3 linked regions of the Yarrowia lipolytica genome follow. The protein of the gene in region 2 binds, or shares a complex with, the protein of the main gene of each other region. Links are inferred from orthologs where the notes say so. Each region holds a gene or a part of one and is shown on either strand. Other genes may lie near its edges. The genes, in order: YALI1_E34870g, YALI1_D12750g and YALI1_B02881g.

Region 1 (1,926 bases), on a different chromosome or scaffold from region 2:
AAGGTCTGTGAAGCGGACCGAGAGAAGCTCAAGAAGGCTATTAACGAGACCATCGAATTCTTAGATGCTACACAATCCAGTGCCAGTGAAGAATACTCCGATAAGCAGAAGGAGCTTGAGAGTTTTTCCAACCCTATCTTGATGAAGTTTTACGGAGTCTCTGGAGGTTTCCCTGTCGCAGGTGAGGGTGCTGCCCATTGCGGCGGCAAGTGCCCTACCGTGGTGGAGGTTGACTAAGTCATGAGTGCTACAGTAGTCACATGTACATGCAAAATATTATAGAATAATTTATGATCAATTGATCAATGAAGTAAGCAAACTTGGCAGAACTAGTGAGCAATGTATAGAGATGATAAATCAGTACTGCAGTGTATGTGCTCAGATAATGAGTAGCTAAGCAACTACAATTGTACAAGTAGTGAACTTTTGAAAGAGTTGAAGTTTTGAGATGTGTAAGCGTTGATTTATTATTTTGACGGTACATGTTCTGTAAGATCTCCAATTTCTGTCCTTCTGTGGCCATCCGATCAGGCGGCAAACTGAATACAGTACCTATCTACACATCCACTCCGTCCACATCGAAACCAGTGTACGCAATTTCGCCCCCACACTCCCTTGGTAAATCAGAAATATGTACAATTACAATAAATAGCATCATTTAACCCTGTCGCTGCTTGTGTCGAGGGTGGGTCTTGCAGTAGTTGAAAACTCGACCCTTTCGAGTGACAATCTGATATTAGTAACGTGTCTAGAAGGGGCGGAATCACTTGATCCTAGTGAACAGTGTCACGAAAAACTCTTGTGGATGGATACTTACGTAGCAGTCGGGGCATCGCTTTCGCACGGCAGACTTGGTCTTCATTCCTCGGACGGTGATGGCGGCAGCGGCATTCACGGCCGGTCGAGACACCTGGCCAGCGGTCTGGAACAGGGAGGGTCGCTGAAGAGTAATCATGGCCGGAACTCGGCTAATGGATCGAAGGACGTTGAACATTGCGAATTTGATTGTCTGGTCTTTGCAACGCTTTTATGTTGTGTGAATTTTTCAAAGTTCGCACTTCAAACAATATAAACTTTTGGCGCCACGGTCCAGCTTTAGCCACCAGGGTTATGTATATTTGGGACTGCACGGAACATGTGGGCACACACGAGAGACTTCCGTACGTATGTCATAAGAATGACTCGAAATAGTAGTCGGAGAAGTGTGAAAAAAATGGACGGGACTAAGCGAAAATCCGACTACAATCTGGTGTAATTCATACTCATCACGCTGTCCAACATATGTCTCGGATTTAATTCTCCACGGCCTTAACTCACCATTAGGGTATGTGAGTGGTATGATATTGCTGGGCTATACCGGAAAAGCACTCATCAGCCGCGTGCTAAGTTCGTGATTGCAACAAATACTCGAGCTTGGGGATATAATTAGGTACCCACGGGACCTTGATAACGCGATCGGGTAAGACCTCTAACTTACATGTGGAGATATCTTGCCCATAGTATCCTTTGAATGACCAAGAAATATACCGAGCAGGGGTTTGTGCAATTTGTAATTGTTAAATACCCAATTGGACTTGCTTGGTTGATCTAACAACAATCAACGACTCGTACATACTGTGCTGCCGGTACTCGTAGCACGTGTAATTAATGTAGACTGGGTGGAACTGCCACATCCTCGTGGTGTGATATCAGTATGGTTTTGTGAAAGCAACAGGATCGAAACTTTTCAACTGTCTCGTTTAGTAGTGGAGTTATTGGTCCCATGACAGTTCGACAGAGAGATTATCGAGATTGCGCTTTGAGAAATACTTGCACGTTTGTTGGAGACACGAGCACAGAGAGCTCCGTTTGAACCTGTTGATTGATTTTAGCGCTGTCATATCTACAAAACAAAGAATGTCATTGGAATCATCAACACAACCATCC
Region 2 (2,420 bases):
GAAGCGATTGGGTTGCAACTTAAACCCATGATGTGAGCAACCCGATTTTGAAAGAACCGAGTACATTGTGCCCTAGAACGAATGAGGATGAAAGGAATAGAGGGGTAGTATTATTAGACGCTGACTAATCGATTGCCCCTATCAAAATCTGTCTACTTCTCTTCTCTTGTATAATTAACTGCTTCTTGTTGTGTCCGTGCTCACGTATTACTAATACCCATCGTCTGAAGTCTGATCTGAGACGCTATAACATGTCAAACCATCCAGAGGCGATGATACTATAGTTGATAAGTACTGTATAGCAGGAACAGCAACAGAACCATTGTATGTTATTACAAATGCTCACGTGATACTTCAAACACCCCAGTTGGCTACAAGTTCCGGTACAAGTTCAAGGGATCACCTACTGCTCCTAAGCCCAGACCAGAGCTCCAACACACCCTATTCCGCCCCGTTTAAGTCATATCAACATTCTTATGCTCTATATACAAAGTTCCGTTTCCTCCATTTAATCCTTCTTGACCACAACGCCAGCCTCGTCATGGTAGGCCACGAGGTTCTGCTTGTAGGGATGCTCGGTGCCCTCAAAGACCTTGAGCCGGGCGATTCGGCCCCGCTTGAGCTTGTTTCGGGGCAGCATACCGGCAACGGTTCGTCGCAGAACCTCGCTGACTCCCTGGTTCTCAATCACTCGCTTGACAGCCACATGGTGAGAGTGACCAGGCTGAGACGACTGCACAAAGTATTCCTTCTGCTGCAGCTTGGAGCCCGAAAATCGCAGCTTGTCGGCGTTCACGACAACCACATAGTCGCCGCAGTCGTGGCCGGTGTTGTACACGGGCTTGTGTTTACCCTGGAGAGTCTGGGCGATGGAGGTGGCCAGTCGACCAAGGGTTCGCTGCTCCTTGGCCACGTCCACAAAGTGCCAGGTTCTGGAAAAAGCCAGACGTGCCTGGGTTAGTAAGAAAACAAGGGTATGTTGACGATTTGCTCAGAAGACACCTGCTTCCGCCGCTCAAATACTCACTTTACCAATAGTCTGTGACATGTTGATTCGTGATGGTGTGTGAAATTTTCGAACGTTAATTTGAGCGGGATGAGGGTTGTGGGAGGAGATGAGTAAGCAACTTTATTCGGGAGTATGGCGATAGACAGTAGTACAAGTACAAGTATGAATACGAGAGCTTCCAGGAGGAGATGAACTGAGAAATGAGCTGATGGCCTGTGAAGAAGCCCTTCTGATGCCACGTCATTGTTTTGTGGTCCAAATGAAGCTGTTGGAAGGAAAATGATCCTCATAGCTGGATCGATAACTTCAGGAGAGCTGAGAGATATAAAAGATGGATATTGATGGAATACATCGGGGTTCTGTTCTGAGTGCAATGGTATTGTTGTTGGTGTCTTTTGATTAGCTAATCACCAACTTATACTCCAGTCGGTCAGTTGTATTTGACGCCTTAAGATTGTCTGTTGATACATTTAGAACTGGGTCATGATCTCGACGGAGAATGGCAATCGATTTTTGTGAGATGGTTAAGTACTCATACTCGTACTCGTAATATGTTGGATTTCCTTTTTTTTTTTTTTTTTTTTTTTTTTTTTTGGTCAGGAAGAGTTGCAGGTTTCTTTTATGTTGGAGAGGGTCCGTCTTTTTTTAGAACCAAAAAATCCAGTTAATCGACCTTTTTTAAACCTGCCTTTGTGTGTTTTGTTGTTGGATTCTTATTTTAGAATATGGGGGAGGAAAAAAAAAAACGAGACAAACAAGCTAATATAAAAATATATATACTGTATATATATTGTTGTATATATACTGTAATGTATATATATAATATATACATAAAAAAATTGCAACCAGTCACCCCCTTTTAAATATCGGAATTTGTACCAGGCCAAGTCCACCTATCATCAGTGATTAATAGCACCAAATTAATTCTGACGCCTCAGAAATGCGGCCTCCATTTGGCTGGGTAAGACATTGGTGAGGCAGGAGAGGAGATGTTAGCCAAGGCGAGGGGAGAGGACACGGTTTTATGTGACGTACTGTACCCGAGGTGCCATGGGGGCTATCATGGAGGGTATAGAGGTTGTTTGAGTGGTCGCGTTAATGGTGGCGGGGTTCCTTCTCTATGTTTTTTCGTCGTATCTACTCCGAAATTGCTATATCATGGTCATTCTCACTGCCGCGTTAGTTCACAGGTGGGAGGTGTAGTTTTTCAGATTTTTTCAGATTTCGTCTTGTCTTTCTGCAGCAACGAAACGCCGAACAAGGGCCACCCAGAAACCCAGTTTACGTGCAGTTGGTCCGTCTAATCGGGAACGGTATCCGCAAGAGACAAGAGGCTGCGCCAAGTGATTGGTCATCGCAAATCGGGTGTGGAAAACTGGAGATGTAGAAGCGTCAACTCGTGCCGGTGGTG
Region 3 (2,926 bases), on a different chromosome or scaffold from region 2:
GCTTGTGCCTGTTGTTGCGCGATTATGGCGGTAGTCATTTTGTACTTTTATAAGAGAGACGAGAAGCGAGATTGTCTGCGAAACGGAATTCTGCTGGTGAATGATAATGAAGATAATGGCGACAAAACTGGCAAGGGAGTCGTTATTGAGGGTCTTTCTGAGAGCTTTGATGAAGATACTGGAGTTGCGAAGAAGCTTGAAGTCGAAAAGATCAGAGAAGCCAGTGTTAGTGACGAAAATGTCAGCAACCTGTCGTTGGTGGTTATTTGATGGTACAGTGATTTGATGGTAGAGTAATTTGATGGTATAGTAGCTACTGTACAGTATGTATAATTGATCTGGTTTGCTACAATGTTTATGACAACAGACCTTTGTCACTACGAGTATGTACAGTACTCGCAAGATTTCTGTCTGTTTTCAAATTCATCATCTTATTAGCCTCATGGCTCACTATATACAAATCTGTACTCTTTTGGGTGTCCGGTATTTACCTGGTCGTCGATAGGATGGAGTCCACTCGCGACCAAAGGCCATTCATTAGCGCTTAAGATCGTCCCTGATGCTTCTCCTTTCCAATGAAAGGAAAGTTGAAAGCCGACAGCAACGCTCGGGCCTCGGAATCAGCCTGGGCGGTGGTGTGGATGGTGATGTGCATTCCGTACATCTGCAGGTAGGCGTCCTGGTTGGCCTCGACCTCGGGGAAGTTCTTGACGTCCTCAGGGATCAGACCAAAGGCGATGTTTCCGTTTCTATCTCCAGACGAATTTCGAATTCCGTTGAATCCAATGGCTCGAGGCAGAACCAGCTCTGTCAACGAGGTCATAAAGTCGGAAATCTTCTCGCCGGTAATCTCCACTTTGGCGCCCATGGGGTAGCCCTTTCGGAGCTTCCAGGTCATGATATTAGACCGGGACCGGACTTCCTTAGCAGCACAGCCGGTGATCTGCTGCAGCAGGAGTTTCTGGTTGATCACCTTCTCGTGGTCAAGAACAGTGCCGGGGTCTGTGCAGTTGATGGTGATCTTGGTGATGGCAGGGATGTTCTTCCAGGTTCGAGGGTGCACGTCCTTGGTGGGGGTCTTGTTGGGACCTCGAGGGGGCTGAGCAGGTCGTCCAAGATGGTAGGGCGAAGTGAAGTCCCATGGTCGGTGCTTATTTCCCTTTCGCACGGACTGTTCGTGGACATAGCCCATCAGCAGCATGTCTGACGCGACCGTGTTGTTGTAGTGGTCGACAACCCGGTCAACACGGGTGTTCTTGGGCACATACTTGTTGGACTCAATCGATCCAGGGTGGGTCAAAAGAGTCTTGGTGAAAGCCGGCTTGAGAATGTTCTTTTTGTATCTGTAAAGATGGTGAACCGGCGGCTTGATCGAGATCTTGGCGCCTCGAGACACGGCCGCAGAGGCGTGGAAGGAGCGGGTGAAGACCACGGACATTGTGAGTTGTGAGGGTCGTGATGTGTAACGCAGCACAAGAAGGTGAGTGAAAATTATTGACTTTGGGAGTTAGTAAGCAGGGATGAAAAACGCAAGTGATTATCCGTAAAAAAAGGCGTGGGTACTAGTTAGTAGTAATCAACCGACATGGGCTTTGTATTGGTAACATCATTGACTTCTAATATAGAAAATTTCCCGAACAAAACTACCCGGTCTAGAATATACACAGAATTAGCAATTTGGCGTGAATATTTGGGTCTGCCTTGAAAATCTCTCCAGAACTCGGGGAAAAATAGGAAAACACATAAACAGTCGAATAGCAGTCTGTATATGGTGAAATTCTTTGTAATATCCCTTCTTTATCTCCTGTTTTGGCGCAGTAATGATGTCCACTAGTAAGTACCAAATATACGCCTACATGACTTTTTGGCGTGCACATTCTTGTCCGGTGATTACAATGCAGTATTGGAGTTGTGTTTTGGGCTTGATAAGGAAGACTGTGAAGTGGGATGTGGGTGGGCGGTTAATTAGTAATCAAAGAGGTCGTTAGTTAGTCATCTTACAGTCATAGATTATGTAAAATATCACGTGACGTCTATGATCCAGTTGATGTTACTCTCATTTCAATCGCACTGTTTCTAGTATCGTTTCAAGACACATTGCTTCACCCTCCATACAGCTCGGTCTGCATATTCTAAGTTGCATGTATCAAAAAAGTATAGCCGACTGAATCCATCAAGACACATCCAGGACCATGAAATTCAGCCCATTGAGACCGGCGGTGTTGACGCGGATTCCGAATTTCGAAGACGGATACGACCCGCTATGGGACGATGAGGAGCTGTCGCAGGAAATCAGTCAGTACGAGATGTCTCTGGAGGAAGAAGGCACACCCAGTAAGCCTCCTCGGAAGACTCCTTCTCAGTCGAGATTTGCAACGGAGTACAGTGCCTCGAACAGTCCGACTCGGCCGACGAAACCGGCAGTGTCATCTCCTTTGAAGCAGGAGCACAGAGACGAGACTCAGGACGTCAAAGAAGACTCATATCGCTCTATCCACGATCTGTCTTGTGCAGAGTGGGAGGGTACATTGAACCGGGTGTCACTTATCCTTGATCAATGTCATCTGAGTCCCGTTGGAAATTTCAAGCGGGGTCATAGACGGGGTTCCAGTGTTAACAGTGTGTCTCTGGGTTCCCCGGTCGACCCTGCGGCTGCCATTGATTGGGGAGCTCCTTTAGCTCAGGTCGAGAAGGAACTCCAACATGTGGAGGACGTGTGGGCGTCTGAGGAGCTCAAACGACACAATGACGTGGCTCGACGGGAGTCTGTGTTTATGTCTCGGATGGGAGACGATCGGCTCAAGCAATCTGATGAGCTGGCCAAGAAGCGGGAAAAGAGAAACAGCGTGATTGTGGGCGGGTTGGTTGATCAATGGGAGGCTGAGAGACGGGAAGAAGAGCGGCAAAGGCTGGAGGCCGAGAGGAA

Evidence for each region.
Region 1: YALI1_D12750g (region 2) and YALI1_E34870g share a complex: the UniProt entries of both Schizosaccharomyces pombe proteins name them as parts of the mitochondrial large ribosomal subunit. The link is inferred for Yarrowia lipolytica from reciprocal best matches to the Schizosaccharomyces pombe genes mrpl23 and rtc6.
Region 3: YALI1_D12750g (region 2) and YALI1_B02881g share a complex: the UniProt entries of both Schizosaccharomyces pombe proteins name them as parts of the mitochondrial large ribosomal subunit. The link is inferred for Yarrowia lipolytica from reciprocal best matches to the Schizosaccharomyces pombe genes mrpl23 and mrpl7.

Annotation. Positions count from the first base shown.
Region 1 is NC_090774.1:3,486,044-3,487,969, reverse strand, and holds YALI1_E34870g (uncharacterized protein), read right to left. Parts: upstream 995-1,926; coding exon 818-994; intron 731-817; coding exon 659-730; downstream 1-658. Other genes in the region: YALI1_E34880g (uncharacterized protein), read left to right, coding at 1-237. UniProt on the Schizosaccharomyces pombe protein: Component of the mitochondrial ribosome (mitoribosome), a dedicated translation machinery responsible for the synthesis of mitochondrial genome-encoded proteins, including at least some of the essential transmembrane subunits of the mitochondrial respiratory chain.
Region 2 is NC_090773.1:1,273,686-1,276,105, reverse strand, and holds YALI1_D12750g (mitochondrial 54S ribosomal protein uL13m), read right to left. Parts: upstream 1,049-2,420; coding exon 1,028-1,048; intron 953-1,027; coding exon 509-952; downstream 1-508. Other genes in the region: YALI1_D12760g (uncharacterized protein), read right to left, coding at 1-29. UniProt on the Schizosaccharomyces pombe protein: Component of the mitochondrial ribosome (mitoribosome), a dedicated translation machinery responsible for the synthesis of mitochondrial genome-encoded proteins, including at least some of the essential transmembrane subunits of the mitochondrial respiratory chain.
Region 3 is NC_090771.1:286,680-289,605, reverse strand, and holds YALI1_B02881g (mitochondrial 54S ribosomal protein uL5m), read right to left. Parts: upstream 1,439-2,926; coding exon 545-1,438; downstream 1-544. Other genes in the region: YALI1_B02910g (uncharacterized protein), read left to right, coding at 1-270; YALI1_B02874g (uncharacterized protein), read left to right, coding at 2,193-2,926. UniProt on the Schizosaccharomyces pombe protein: Component of the mitochondrial ribosome (mitoribosome), a dedicated translation machinery responsible for the synthesis of mitochondrial genome-encoded proteins, including at least some of the essential transmembrane subunits of the mitochondrial respiratory chain.